2 linked regions of the Tamandua tetradactyla genome follow. The protein of the gene in region 2 binds, or shares a complex with, the protein of the main gene of each other region. Links are inferred from orthologs where the notes say so. Each region holds a gene or a part of one and is shown on either strand. Other genes may lie near its edges.

Region 1 (7,596 bases), on a different chromosome or scaffold from region 2:
GCCATCCTAAAAATCAACAATCATCCTGTCAATCTCTGTACCTTCTATGTCCCTCCCCAGCTTTATTTTTCTGTCACAGCACTTACCACCATCTGACATGCTGAATATTTTACTGAGATGAGCTCCATGAGAGCAGGAACTGTTCTCTTTCTTGTTCATTGCCGACTCTTTAGTGCCTAAACAGGTAAGTGCTTGGTGCCCAGTAAATACTGGTTTACATAATTAACCATTAACTCCTTGAGTTCCTGGACTATCTGCAGTATAGAAAGGTTAGAACCAAGTTTGACTACCCTGGATAACAGGAGGGTTTGTGCCAGGATCCTGTGGACTGACTCACTTACCCACATTTTCTGCCTTTTCCAAAGCTGGAAGAAAAAAAATAGCTAAGTCTTCCCATTTCTGTATATGCCTAGTAACTTGGTCAAATGGAAATTTACCTGTCCTTCTGCATGGAAATTATCCTCATCTAGAACTGAATCAGCAGTTGCTGTTGTCACCAACAACCTCACAGAGTACCTATAAGATTCCGTGTTTCCCACACCTGAGGCATTTCTGGCTCAGCCAGAATGGATTCTTTCAGGTGGGGAAGGGCGTGATAAGGTAGTGATGTATATTTCACATGCTGCCCACCATCCTTACATCAGAGGGGCTGAAGGCAAGAACCACAGAATTTCTCGGCATTAGAGGGACGTAAGATCTTCTTTGGGAATTCAACTCAAAAGACAATTACAATATCATGACATAGCATTACTGAAAGATTAAAAGCAAAAAATAATACGAAGTGTGTTTTAGTTTGTTAAGGTGCTGGAATACAGTATACCAGAAATGGAACAGCTTTTACAAAGGGAATTTATTAAGTTACAAGCTTACAGTTCTGGTGCCAAGAAAATGTCCTAACTAAGGCACCAATAAGAGGTTACCTTCACTCAAGAAGGGATGATGCCATCGGGAACACCTCTGTCAGTTGAGAAGACACGTAGCTGGCATCTGCTGGTCCCTTGCTCCTGGGCTCCACTGCTTTCAGCCTCTGTTTCCTGTGGGAGTTCCTTACTCGGCTTTGGTGGGCCTTTTCTTAGTTCTTCCAGGACACAACTCTGAGTTCTGGCTTGCTTAGTATCTTACAGAAAGGCACATGGGAACGTCTGCTGGGCCCTGCAACTCCAAGCGTCTGGTTCTTGTGTTGGCTCTGTCAGCTCTGAAGCAACTGTTTTCAAAGCATCTGCATTGGCTCTGTGTTTTCTCCAAAATGTTTCCTCTTTTAAAGGATGCCAGTAAACTAATTAAAACCCACTCTGAATGGGCGGAGTCACATCTCTATCTAACCAAAAGGCCACACCCACAACTGGGCACTTTACAGCTTCATGGAGATAATCTCGTCAGAAAGTCATGCCCATAGCTGGGAACCTCACATCTCTGTGGAGACATCTAATCAAAAAGGTTTCCACCCTACAATGTTGATTCAGGATTAAAGGACGTGGCTTTTCTGGAATATGGAACAGTTTCAAACTAGCACAAAATGTTATATGAATAAAAGTTAAAGGAACAATGTAACACAGAGCAAATGATGTCATCAACAGGTGGTAAAGGTGAGCCAGAGGAAAAGAGAAAATTGGGGCCTGTATGGACCCAGGAGCCTTCCTGGGAAATGGAGAGTGGAGATTGATCTTGAAAAATGGAGAGATTCCACAGATCAGTTGAGAGGGAATTCACACAACCCACAAATAGGGATAAAGCCCCAAGTATGTGACTGGTCACATACCTAAGTCTTATTTTCACACCTGGGCAATTAACTCTATACTGGCATTTCTCAGAGTATGTTTGTAGGACAGTCAACACACATTAAAAATTAATTAATTAGCTAATTAATTAATTAAAATACATTTTTAACACATTTGGGTTAAACAGAATTCTTTACTGAAGAACTTCTCCAAACTCAAAGTATATTTGTAAATCTCTCCCCAAAGATTAGACCATGGATCCTTTTTTCCAAAGGAAATCTCAAAGAATTAGTACTGGGGGAAGTTTAAATCTTCATAATCTAATTAAGTGGGCATAAATAAGTTCAAGCAACCCATGATAAGCAACACAGTAGAAAGCGCCAAACCAAACCCCGTCAGGCCCTGAAAGTATCTTTGGACCAGGAGAAGACAATGATACTACCAGCTAATAGTACTAGGGTATGGTTGATTTAAAAAACAAAAATATTTAGCACAGTTTCCATGTGGCACTGTGCTAAAATTTCACCTCACAAAAATCCTGGTAAGGTATTTTGGAAACCACTCTCATTTTATAAATAAGAAAACTGGGGCATAGAGAGGCTAAGCACTTGGCTCAAAGCCACACAGCTATTAACAGACAGAACCAGGTTTATATCCAAATAGGGGTAGGATTCCAGGAGTCCTAAAACTCACAGCCCAGAGCAGAAATCCACTCCAGCAGGCAGCTAAGACTGTCCTACTTCCTTAAGAACCAGTATGTCCTGGGGCTGGCTCAAAAGCTAGGAAACAAATAGTTCTAAAAAGGAGAAGAATCTGAAAGTGGATTCAGACTAGAGACAGTTGACAAAGAGAACCACAGAAACATCTGGAGGTCAAACACAACACAGTGTAGAGAGTCCTAAACTTTGCAGGGGGTCGAGTAGGTCCACGCAGGGCCATTGCCAGCCAACAATTTTCCTGCCTGCAATAGCTGCAGCAGCAGCAGCTGGAATACACAGTTCCCTGTGACCTAGTGATGGCCAGAATAAGGTTTGCTGTTGCTGTTTTACTTACCACAGTAGGTGTACCGAATACTTGCATCGGAGGAGTTGCAGATCCAGTGTTCCTTCCTGGGTTCAGTAAATATAGAAAGAAACAGAGTGGAAAAAAGCATAAATGGGAACATGATTAAATCTCTCCGAAATTTTAAAAATACAATGAAGATTAGTAACTAATCATCAGGCTCTTCCCTTTCAGTAAGTGAAAAAGGTTTAACTCAGTCATCGGTCACATGATTTCTGAGTTCCTAGCCAACTATTTCCTCTTTTTTGTGTGTGTGTCTTTAATATTTGAGCACTTCCTGCAAAGAGAGAGAGGAAAATGATTTATGATTATTCTTTTTGAACACTTGATGCCAGTGAGAGTGACCAGAGCTTTAAAAACAAACACTTCCCAGCCAGTAGTAAACTATTGGTCCCTTTTCCATCTGGCATTGCTATTCTCTCCCGTGAGCTCTTTACACAGCAATTTCTCCTGGCCCAAGAAGCTGGACCTATAGAGCAAAATTGAATACAGTCTATTGGAAATGACTTCTGCTCAGTAACAGGTTCAGCCACAGGGCAGAGCAGACCTGGGTAAGGCCCCTAATCATGGAACACTTATCAGTCCTCTACCCCACCAGGCTCGAGAATTTTCTTAGCTACAGCAAACCCCAGCACAAGAGAATATTTTGAGCCCTAAAAATGAAATGGCCATTATTTTGTATCTGATAGATATTTCATTTCAAAAATCCCACTCCGTTTTAGAAAAAGAGTTCATTCTCTAGATTCTTTGAAACTTTATAGGATATAGTTTGGGGGGTGATAGCCAAACATGGCATGGGTCTAAAAATCTGTTTAGAGGGAGATAATCATATGCTGTGGCAAAACGTTTTACTATAGAGCTGCACTTCTTTCCGCATTTCTAAAAATGCAAAAGCCCATGACTACCTCTAGGGCCCAGACTGGAGTCTCAAAATACTATTTCCATCTAAAATACCATTTCCTACTTGGAGAAATTGCTGACTCCAGGTCTGAGGCAGAAAATGTATAAGACAAGCCTGGAATATCTTATATTAAATAGCCAATTTGAAGAGGGTCCCGCTGAACAAAGATGAATGCATTAGCATCCTGGGTATGCTGTAATAAATTACCTGAAACAGTGGCTTCAAACAACACAAATATATTCTTTTACAGTTCTGGAGGCCAGAAATCCAAAGTCAGTTTCACTGGGCTCAAGTCAGTGTTGGTAGGACTGATTCCTCCTGGAGGCTCAGAGAGGTGATTCCACTTCCTTGATTTACAGCTTCCAATGACCACCTATAGTCCTTGGCTTGTGGTCCTCCCTCCATCTTCAAAGAGTATCACTGCAAACTCTGCTTCTGTCATCACAGTACCATCTCCTCTGATCTCCCACGTCCCTCTCCTAAAGACCCTCTGATTATATCAGACCCACCCAGGATAATCTCTACTTTGCAAGACCCTTAATCAAATTTGCAAAGTTCCTTCTGCCATGTGTATTAGTTTGTAAAGCTGCTGGAATGCAATGTACCTGACATGTGTTGGCTTTTATAAAGGGAATTTTTTAAGTTACAAGTTTACAGTTCTAAGACCAGAAAAATGTTCAAACCAATCCAGAGACAGATAATTGGAACACCTCTGTCAGCTGGGAAGGCACATGGTGACATCTCCTAGCCTTCTCTGTCTGCTAGTTTTCTCTCCCAGCTTCTCACTTCAAACGACTTCCCCAGGGGCATTTTCTTTCTGCACCTCCAAAAGTCTCTCTCTGTGTCAGCTCTAAAGCTTTTTTCAAAATGGTTCCCTCTTTAAATGACTCCAGTAGGCGGATTAAGACCCACCTTGAATGGTGAGACACAACTCTATGGAAACAACCTAATCAAAAGGTCCCACCTACAATTGGGTGGGTCACATCCCCATGGAGACAACTTAAAAAGATCCCACCCAACAATATTGAGTCAAGATTAAAGAATATGGCTTTTCTGGGGTACACAACAGTTTCAAACCAGCAGATCATGGAAGGTAACATATTCATAGGTTTTGGGGATTAGACGGTGAACATTTTGGAGGCGATTATTGAACCTATTACCATGGGACTATATGAGTATTTATAAGATAGTAACTCCAGTGAATTGAAATGCATTAAATATATTTAAATTCATGAGTTCATATATATACAATCTAATCTGTCATTATCAGAAGATGCTTGGGAACCAATTCTATTTTGAAAACTGGAAAATTAAATGTCTTATAGAGCTGCCATAACAAAGTACAACAAACTGGATGACTTAAAACAACAGCAATTTTTTCTCACAATTTTGGAGGTTAGAAGTCTGAAATAATAATGTTGGCAGGACAATACATTCTGAGTCTGCAGAGTTCTGGTAGTGACTTGCCAACAATGTGTGGTATAACTCATTCTCTGCCTCACCTGTTCCTACCATGTCTAAACTACCTCTCCTTATAAGGATCCTATTAAATCAGGATCCATCCCAATCCAATTTGGACTCATTCTAACTAGTAACACCTTTGAAGGTCCTATTTCCAATAGGATCACATTCACAGGACCAGAGACAGGTCTTGAACACATCCTTTTAAGAGACACAATGCAGTCCATAGTGTAAGGCGAAATAAACATGTATCATAACTTTTTTATATAAACTGAACTACTGAGTAACAAAATATTAGAGGGACATGTTTCTTTTACTTTCCTGTTCTTTTCTATTTATAGAAATATTCCAGGTAACAAATGTCAGTGGAATTGAAGATAACCATTTTGAAGCAAGACCTAATGAATTAAAGGATCATGACATCGAGCATCATAAAGAAAGAGACAAAAAAGATATTCTATAGCTCTTGATGAAAGAACAGCAGTAACCCGCTCTAAGACAGCTCCCAAAGAGCCTTACTTTCTGGGGCTCACATCTTCGACTAGTTACCTCTCACAATGAATAAGTCTGGCTTGGTTACTAATACAATATTGTGTAGTGACACTGTATGACTTCTAAGACTAGGACAAAACAGACTGTGGATTTCACCTTGCTTTCTCTTGGATCTCTTGCTCTGAGAAAAGCAAGCAGCACCACAAAGAGACCATATGATGAGAAACTGAGGCTTCCTGCCAAAACCAACACCAGAGTTGCTTCAGAGCTGACAGAGACACAGACATTTGGAGATACTTGGAGGGACAATAGAAAGAGCAGTGCCTACACATGTACGTTTAAAGATGCAGAGCCCAACAGACATCATCATGTGCCTTCTCATGAGATGCAAAGCAAGCCAGAACCCAGAGTTGTGTCCCAGAGGAGCTAAATGAAGGCCCACAGATGCTTAGAAAGGAAACCACTGGCATCAGAATCTGGAACCAGGAACAAGGACCAGCAAATGCCAGCCATGTGCCTTCCCATGTGACTGACATCAATCTTTCTTGAGTCAAGGTATCTTTCTCTGGATGCCTTAGTTTGGACATATTTACGACCTTAGAACTTTAAACTTGTAACTTAATAAATTCCCTTTTTAAGAGAAAAAAATGCAACACCAACTCATCAGTCATGTGAGTGAGCCACCTTGGAAGCTGTGTTAGTTTGTAAGCTGCTGGAATGCAATATACCAGAACTGGAACAGTTTTTTTTTAAGGAGAATTTAATAAGTTACAAATTTACAGTTCTAAGCCTATAAATGTGTCCAAACTAGGGTATCCATGGAAAGATACCTTAATTTAAGGAAGGCCAGTGGGTCTGGAACAGCTCTATCAGCTGGGAAGTCATGTGGCTGGCATCGGCTGGTCCCTTGCCCTTGAACTCCGTTGCTCTCAGCCTCTGTTCTGGGGCAATTTCCTCAGTTTGCTTCTCCAGGGCTGGATTTCACCTCTTGGCTTCCCTTGGCTCTCTCCAGGTTCTGGCTTGCCTAACATCTCATGGCAATGTCTGCTAGGCTCCAAGCATCTCCAAACATCTGTGTTTCTGTTCTCTAAGTGTCAGCATCTGTGTCAGCTCTGCTCTGAAGTTTCTGTTGGCTCTGTCATTTCTAACTCTCTCCAAAATGTTTCCTCTTTTAAAGGATCCTAGTAAACTAATCAAGACCCATCTGGAATGGGTGGAATCACACCTCCATCTAATCAAAAGATCACATCCACAGTGAGGTGTTTCATATCTCTGTGGAGACAATTTAATCAGTAATTTCCAACCTATGATATTGAATGAGGATTAAAAGAAACAGTTGCTCCCACAAGATAGGATCAGGATAAAAACATGGCTTTTCTGAGGTACATAATACTTTCAAATCAGCACAGAAGCCTTTAGAATACACTACCACCAGCTGACATCTTGACTGTAACCTCATGAATCCCTGAATCAGAACCATCCAACTACACCACTCCCATACATTGTGCAATATTACAAATGTTAATTGGTGTTTCAAGCCTCTAAGTTTTAGGGGCGATTTGTTATGCAACAGATAATAAAACATCATCTATGGCATACTCCTACTCAAAATAATCAAACCTGAATCTGATGAAACCTCAAGATCCAACTATCAATTTATAGGAAATTCAGAAGACACAGAGGGACATGTTGAACTATACCATGGAGGCGCAAGCAGAAAAATCTAGACCATGACAGCTAAAGGACAAACTCCATTTCTTCAACCAATATTTGCAAAGGAAAAAAGTATAAAATGGAGGGGGGCCCATAGATAACAGCCTTAAAAAAATATTTAAACAATTGCAATGTGTTAACTTTGTTTGCTCCTGAGCCAAACAAAGTATGAAAAAAAATTTTTTTAAACACAGGAAATTTAAACAGACTGGATATTTGATAACATTTGGTTTTTGGTTTTTTTTTAGG
Region 2 (7,534 bases):
AGGTCATATGTGGCAGTTCTGAACTTCATTCATCCATCTGCTTAAATGTTACCCCCTCAGGGGAGCCTCACAGATCATGCCGTGGCTATATCTCCTTCACAAGCCGTAGTGCCACCTGACATAATATTGTACATATAGTTCCATATTTGTTTCCATCTCCCATTCTAGATTGCACATTTTGATGATCTTGCTCTCTGCTGTACGGCCAGCATTTCGAATGGTGGCTGTCAAATAGTTGATACTCACTTACATATTTGTAGGATCAATGAATAAATAACTGAGTGAATGAAGCTCTGTGTAAGTACAAATGGTAGGCATTTTCTACTATCTGCTATAGAGTTCCCAGTCTAAAGAGTTAGGACAGGAACAGAACTCTGTCCAACAGGGCCATAAAACAGACTTGGAAAAATATGTTCTCTGGTTCAGAGAAAATAGAGCTCAATTCTGGATGCAGGGATCATAGAAGGTTTTCTAGAGAGAAGATCTCAAAGTGGGTCTTAAACGATGAGTAAGACGTGGATGTATGGAAAGGAGAAGGAAGACATGTCACAGGTAGAGAGCGGTGTGAGCAAGGAAGGGATAGAGACTAATTCAGGCTGGCTGATGAGTGGGGGCAGGAGAGTGGTAAGTCGACGGGTGGGGGGGGGCGGGTTAGAGCCAGGAGAGGATGGCCTCAAACACAAACTTTATCCTATGGTCAATTTCTTTTAATTATTTAGCAAATAACAATTGATCATCTATCAGATGTCGGGCACTAGAAATATAGCAATACATAAAACCAGCAATAACCCTTCCCTCTTAGAGGTTCTATTCCAAACGGGAAGACAAATGATAAACACACAAACAAAAATATGTATTGATGTGATATGGAGAAAAATAAGGTGACTAGAGGCAAATATGGACTCTATTAAACAGAGATATCAGGGAAGACGTCCGTGAAAAGGAGATAACTCAGCAGAGATCTTAATAAAGTCAGGGATTAATCCATGCAATTGTCTAGGTATGTGTTTTCCAATATGGTAGCCCCTAGCCACACATGCCTATTATGCATCAGAAATACGGATGGTATAGACATCTGAAATATGTTGTAAATGTAAAATTGCACTATATTTCAAAGACTTGGTAACAAAAAACTGAAGTGTCTTATTAATATTTTATGCCATTACATGTTGAAATATTTTTACTATATCAAATTAAATAGAAATGTCATTAAATTTGGTGTCACTTGTTTTGTTTTTAACTTTTAAATTTGCCCACTAGAAAATTTAAAATCACATATGTGACTTACACAATATTGTCACTAAACAGCACTGACCTAGGAGAAAAGCGTTCCAGTTAGGAGAAATAGCTAGGGCAAATGCCCTGCAGTGGGAAACTCTTCAAACAGCAATGGGGAGTTATTGAAAGTTTTTAAGGAAGAGAAAGTAATTTGTTAGAGCCAATAGCTTCAGGAATAAAGCAAAAGCTAAATACACATATAAACAAAGATGTATAGAATGGATTTAAGGAAGGGGACTATGGACTCACTATCACCCTCCTTAGTGATAGAAAACAGTCACGATCACAAAGTCAAGGCCAGAGAAACTGAGAGCCTGCACTAGTGTGGCACACAGGGCATGGTCAGAGATGGACAGGCTTTGGCGACTAACAGAAAACAAGACATGGGGAAGAGGAAGGAGCTACGAGTGGTGCGTGACTTTCCCACAGTGACACTGCCTGGGAGATCTGCCTCCATCAGCCTAACAACATGGAAAAAAGCAAGGAGTAGGGCTGTGGGAAGTGCATGGGGGTCTTTCAGGTGGTGAATTAGTCCTTGCTACGTATTAAAGTTATCTATTTTCCCCTCTGTCCCCAACTTCAGGACTCTGGCTGCCTGTGCTGCTCTTGCATCTCTATGCCTGTTCCATTGGGCTACAGGCTTCCAAAGCCACTGTGAAGTCCACGCAGGCAGGGGAGAAACAAGACCCATCATGAATGAGATTACAAACCAGCCAGTTTCACAAAGAATGGTGCTTCACCCCTGATTTGCTAACATTTTACACCTCTCTCTCTTTTTACTTTTTCCTCTTTTCCATGTTCTTTCATTATTTTTCATCCTTTGGACAGAACTTTATGACTGGTTTCAGAAATCTGAAATCTGCCTTGAAATTTCTTTCTATTGAGAGACAAAAACGTCATCTTCTCCCTGCCATCAAAAGAGGCAGAGTGACTCCTAGAAGCTGAGTGTACAAACCACCAGCAGAAAGGAAATAACATCAAAGCAGCTCTCTATTAAAGTAGGTATAATTGTAGTTCTTCTATATGTATGAAAACTAGTCTCAGAGAGGCTTAATAACTTGCTTCAGGTCACACAGCCAGGAACTATTAGAACCGTAATCTTAAGCAGATCTACCTGACCTACAGTCCCTGTTAGCACTCAGAATCCTGAGTGCAGCATGTGCCATCCACTCCCTTTTGGTGATCTGTAACAGTTTCTTATTTGACCCCTGTAGTTTCTTGGGTCTTTAAGATAAAATGACTCCTTTTTGCAGTAGAAACTAACTAGGGTACACAGTGGGAAGTTCTGGGCAGAGAGCAGTTTTTCAGAAGCAAGGCAGAGCTCAAAGGAGATATGCCGACCGCAGCCACATACCTCCACGCAGGGATCCCAGCTCTCGGGTCGCAGACAGGAGAGGAAGGCCATGGCTGGTATCAGCGTCCCAGCCAGGTGCCAAGGAGGCATCATCCTGGCATTTTCCAGGGCCAGCGGTGGCCCTGTGAAAGCATGATTGTGCTGTAACTAGTGACAGTGCAGTCTCCGAGGCACTGGTGCCTCCTCTCCTCAATTCTGTGCCCCACAGCAACGACTTACTCTATTCAAAGCAGCACGGGGCAAGAGTTAAAAGGAAGTGAGAGTGGCAGTCTTAGCATTCTAGACTTCTGTTTTTCTGATATTTATCTCCCCTGTCACAGGAGGGGAAGTTTGAAGAAGGAGAAAGAAAAAGCATGCAGGGCAGGGGCTGAAGCAATAGCAAGAGGAAGCTGGCTCTCATCCCAGGAAGTCATCTGACCTCCGGGCTTGATGAACTTAGGAAAACAATCAGACTCGGGTCAAACACTGTCCTATCAAGGACAGTGGTTTTCACATTTTGTTCTAGTAGTGGAAACTTACTATTCAATGAAATCTGGTGTAGAAACTCAGCATTAGGAAACTAAAATTAAGCTCTAGTGAAACACAGCTTCGAAACTATAAGTGCATTGAAAAAATACTAGAAAAAGAACACTGGGGGGGAAAGTATAAAATATTGGAGGAAACTCGTTATTCATAACCAAGGGCATTGAATTTCAAATCCAGGCTGGCTGACTTTATGGTCATGTGCTCAGTTAAACTACTGAGTCTTAAAATGGAAATAATAGTGTTTAATACTAACAGAAGCTTATATTCATGAAATCAATAAAAATAAAGCCATGTGAGAATAGTCAGGATACGCAAACTAACAAGCCTTGGTTTTCTGGTCTTTCGAATGGAAATAATATCATTTGCCTGGCGTGATTGAATTGGGTTCTCTTACATAAAATGTCAGGCCTGGTACATGGTTTATCATTGCATTCCATAAGTGGCATCTATTATGATGAATAAAATATGCATTCAACATTGCATCTAAGGTTGCTGGAAAGAGTGAAAACAGCCTGGGAAAGACACTCAGATGCTCAGAAGGTATGTACCTCACAGGGTTACCATGGAATTTAACAAGCTGCTAGTATTTCTAACGCTCTTAGAACTGTGCCTAACATATAGCAAGTGCAATGTAACTATTGAAGAAGAACATAATTTAAAATGAGGATTATTACTGGTATTGTGTCCCAGATATTTCTACTGAGATGTCCTGCAGGCATCTCAAATCCATCATGTCTAAAATCAAGCTGCAAGAAAGGATGTGATAGTGGATTGATCACAATATTTTAACTCCTTCAACATTCCTGTAAAATTCAAAAAAAAAGAGTCCCCCATCAAAACTTTGCTTTAAGGATGAAATGAGATTATTTATGTAAAATTCTTAGCGCAGCTTCTGACACAAAGTAGGTGCTCAATAAAGTTTCATTCCCTAAAAAGCTAATGGCATTTCATTCCCACAGTCATCCAATACAGATATGTCTTTGTTTTTTTTCTCCTCTGACTTCATCATTGCCTACCCAAACATTCTAGCAAATCCTAGAGATTTTATCCGTAAAATATTTCAAGAAACCCAGTCTTCATTTCCATAATCATTACCATTGAACATATCTTATGTTCTACGCTGGTGTGATACACTTTTGACTAATATCTCAGGATCTGAACTCATTTCTTCAAATCAAAGAGAACTTTAGGTCTTTATAAAATGCAAATATAATTATCTCATGCCTTATTAATATTATGAGACTATGCATTGCCTAGGCCTTAAGTCTCCTCGCCTCTCCTCTAGACATCTATTTAGGAGACACTAGTGTGTTTCATTTAATCAACTGAGGAATCTTATCCTCACCAGACACCTGGAAGAAGTGCTTGATATTATTTGGCAGGCACTTCATTCATTAAGAAATAAAGAAAGAAAAAAACATTTTGGTCTGTGTTAGGATAGGTTAATTATTGTATCAACTTCCAAATTTCAGGGACTTAACACAATAAAAGTTTATTTCCTGCTCATGAAATGTTCAATGAGGATGTTCCTGATTGGAGGCACTCCAAGAATGGCTCATGGATTCGGGCTCTTTCTATCTCATTATGCTGTCATATTCAACATATCATCTCTAAGGTTGCTAGGAAGAGTGAAAAGAACACAGGAAAGACACTCAGATACTTACCTACCTCTGCTCAGAAGTGACATACATCACCTCTGCTCTCATTCCATTGACCAGAGCTAGTCCCAAGACCACAACTAGTTGTCAGGGCTCTTGATTACCTGACTTTAAGCTTCTTGTCTCTATCTAAAACTCACATGCACACACACAAATACACACACAAAACACACTCTCATAGATGCTTGTGATCACTACTTGGAAGCACCGATTCTATACTATGGAAGGGGAACAAAAACTTGAGTGGTCAGTAGGATATCTGTGCCATAACCTTGAAATCCAGTAATTCCCACTCAGAGTGATTAAAACAAAATAATAATAATGAACAGTGTAGCCCAGCTCAGGGAAGAAAGGCTCCCTTCATTTTGTATATCTAAGAATCAAACCCAATTCCATCCAGTAACTCTCAGTTCCACATCTTTTCACATGTCAACAGCTCTCAAATCAATATGTGTCTCCTAAATGACAATATATTACAATTATAATTAACAGGCTTTTCTTTTTTCTTTCTTGGTGGCCAATAAAAATGATAGCTCTTATAATCAATGTTATCTTAGATTCAGTGATGTAGGGTTTATCACAAAGAGAAATAAGAACAAGCTTCTCTTCAATTAAATAAAGGAAGCAATGGGATAAACAGAGAAAAAGAAATTTTATTTTCTAAGAAATGCTCAGAAACTTTATTAGTGTGTATTTTGCATCTACAAAGGAGTATAATGTACTTAATGTTCTCCAACTTTTTTGACCCATGCACCTTTCTTTTACAATTGGACAGCCATTAAAAATTCAGGATCCATTAGTGTGCTGTCGAGTAATGCTCCTGTGTTGTACGGTACAGAAAATGCTTCTCTTAAGCAGTATTCTCTCGCTAGCAGGTGGTGTTTTTCCTGCTCCTACAACTGGGTCCTCACGTTAAGTTCTGACCTGTATGTCTCAATAGCCTCTTCCCAAATACCACTAGTAGGCGAAGCAGTGAGTGCACCTTCACGGGAGTTCTTGGTGCAAACAGCCCAAAATATTTCTCCTCCCCAGCTTGAATGCCTATAACATCTCTCATGTTATTTTTAAATTAATTTGAATTTTCGTATCAGTTCTGTTTGATTCTCCCAATAAGATATAAACTCCAAGAGAACAGGAGCCTTGTTCAATGTTTACATTTACTGAGTCCATACCTAAGTACTCAGTAAGTAGTTGATAAGTAAATCAACAAACAATGTATTATAACTTGTTTTTGAAATACAGTGAATATTTTAAAGTCTTTGCCAACTTTCCGTATTGAGTAACTTGACTCTCTTATAAGATGATCAGTGATTATTCTTGGACTTCTCTTACACTTTTCTACTTGCATATATCCCCTTGTGATGCTCATGCCCCAATTTAAGCAACATGGAGAGCACCAAGTCAAAGCAAGTGCATTAAGAAGAAAGTTCTTGTAGTAAACACTCCACCTTTCCTGGGTAAAAAAAATCCTCATCGCCTCCTTTACTCAGGAACTTGAGGCAAACTCTTCTCTCTTTCTTCTTCCTCTTTATTCCTCTAAATCTCCAGTAAATTCCTACTTGTCCATTCAAACCCCAGAAAAGTGTAATATAAAGAGAACTATAATTTAAAATATTTAATCATCCCATTTAGTTAATGGCATAATAGTTTCTTAGTTGTACACCTTACTTAACTCATTATTAATACATAAACATTTTAACATATATTATTAACATTATTAACATACGCAGTAAAGAAAGCAGACACCTATTACATGGAGCGTATGTTCTAATGATCAGTGAGCCAATGACAACTATAAGTAAATACATTAGATAGTATGTAAGAAGGTGTTAAGGTCCATTAGGGGAAAACAGAAGGAAAATAATAGAGATGAAGAGTGGGAGGTGATATTAAATTTTTTTAATTATAAAATATAACATATACACAAAAAAGCAATAAATTCCAAAGTACATTGTACCAAGTAGTTATAGAACAGATTTCAGAGTTTTGTATGGTTAGTTACACAACTTTAGGTTTTTCCTTCTAGCTGCTCCAAGACATTGGAGACTAAAAGAGATATCAATATAATGATTCAGCAGTCATACTTATCTATTAGGTCTTATCTTCTCTGTTTTAACTCCTCCTTTTCTTGTGGTCTTTCTCCAAATCTTTAGGGGTATTTGGACTATGCCCATTCTAACTTTTTCATATTGGAAAGGTTGTCAATAATATGGGATAGGGGAATGGAACTAGCTGATGTTCTGGAGAGGCTGGCCTCTCTGGGTTTCAGGACTTATCTTGCCTAGGAACTCATTTGGAGGTTGGAGGTTGCTAGAAAACAATCCTAGTGTGTGGAACTTTTGTAGAATCTCTTATAGAGCTCATGGTGTTCTTTAGGGTTTGCGAGAATGGGTTTGGTTGGAGTTTGGCAAACCACGGTAAATAGCAATATCTAGCAGAAGCTTGTGTAAAAGTGGCCTCCAGAATAGCCTCTCGACACTATTTGAACTCTCTCAGTCACAGATACTTTATGTTGTTACAATTATTTTCCCCCTTTTGACATGGTGCCAGGCCAGGTTCATCCCTGGTTGTTATATCCCACATTGCCATGCTTCATACCGAATGTCATGTCAAACATGGGGGGATAGTAACATTTGAATTGCAGAGGTGGGCTTAGAAAGAGGCCACATCTAAGCAACAAAAGAAGTCCTCAGGAAGTAACTCTTAGGCACAACTACAG

The links. The genes of interacting proteins can lie anywhere in the genome.
Region 1: the proteins of TLR4 (region 2) and LY96 are in contact, whole or in part, in a crystal structure (PDB 4G8A), measured with the Homo sapiens proteins. The link is inferred for Tamandua tetradactyla from reciprocal best matches to the Homo sapiens genes TLR4 and LY96. Residues at the interface, in NP_612564.1 of Homo sapiens: Gln39, Met41, Glu42, Asp60, Ser62, Phe63, Asp84, Ser86, Arg87, Thr110, Gly111, Val132, Val134, Glu135, Asn156, His159, Ser183, Ser184, Asp209, Leu212, Arg234, Val259, Glu262, Phe263, Arg264, Asn265, Glu266, Arg289, Ala291, Tyr292; in NP_056179.4 of Homo sapiens: Met40, Tyr42, Ile66, Pro67, Arg68, Arg96, Ser98, Asp99, Asp100, Asp101, Tyr102, Ser103, Phe104, Arg106, Leu108, Lys109, Gly110, Glu111, Thr112, Thr115, Thr116, Ile117.

What each region holds. Positions count from the first base shown.
Region 1 is NC_135332.1:117,803,096-117,810,691, reverse strand, and holds the start of LY96 (lymphocyte antigen 96), read right to left. Parts: upstream 3,005-7,596; 5' UTR 2,884-3,004; coding exon 2,772-2,883; intron 1-2,771. UniProt on the Homo sapiens protein: Binds bacterial lipopolysaccharide (LPS). Cooperates with TLR4 in the innate immune response to bacterial lipopolysaccharide (LPS), and with TLR2 in the response to cell wall components from Gram-positive and Gram-negative bacteria.
Region 2 is NC_135328.1:39,947,172-39,954,705, forward strand, and holds the start of TLR4 (toll-like receptor 4), read right to left. Parts: upstream 3,001-7,534; 5' UTR 2,726-3,000; coding exon 2,633-2,725; intron 1-2,632.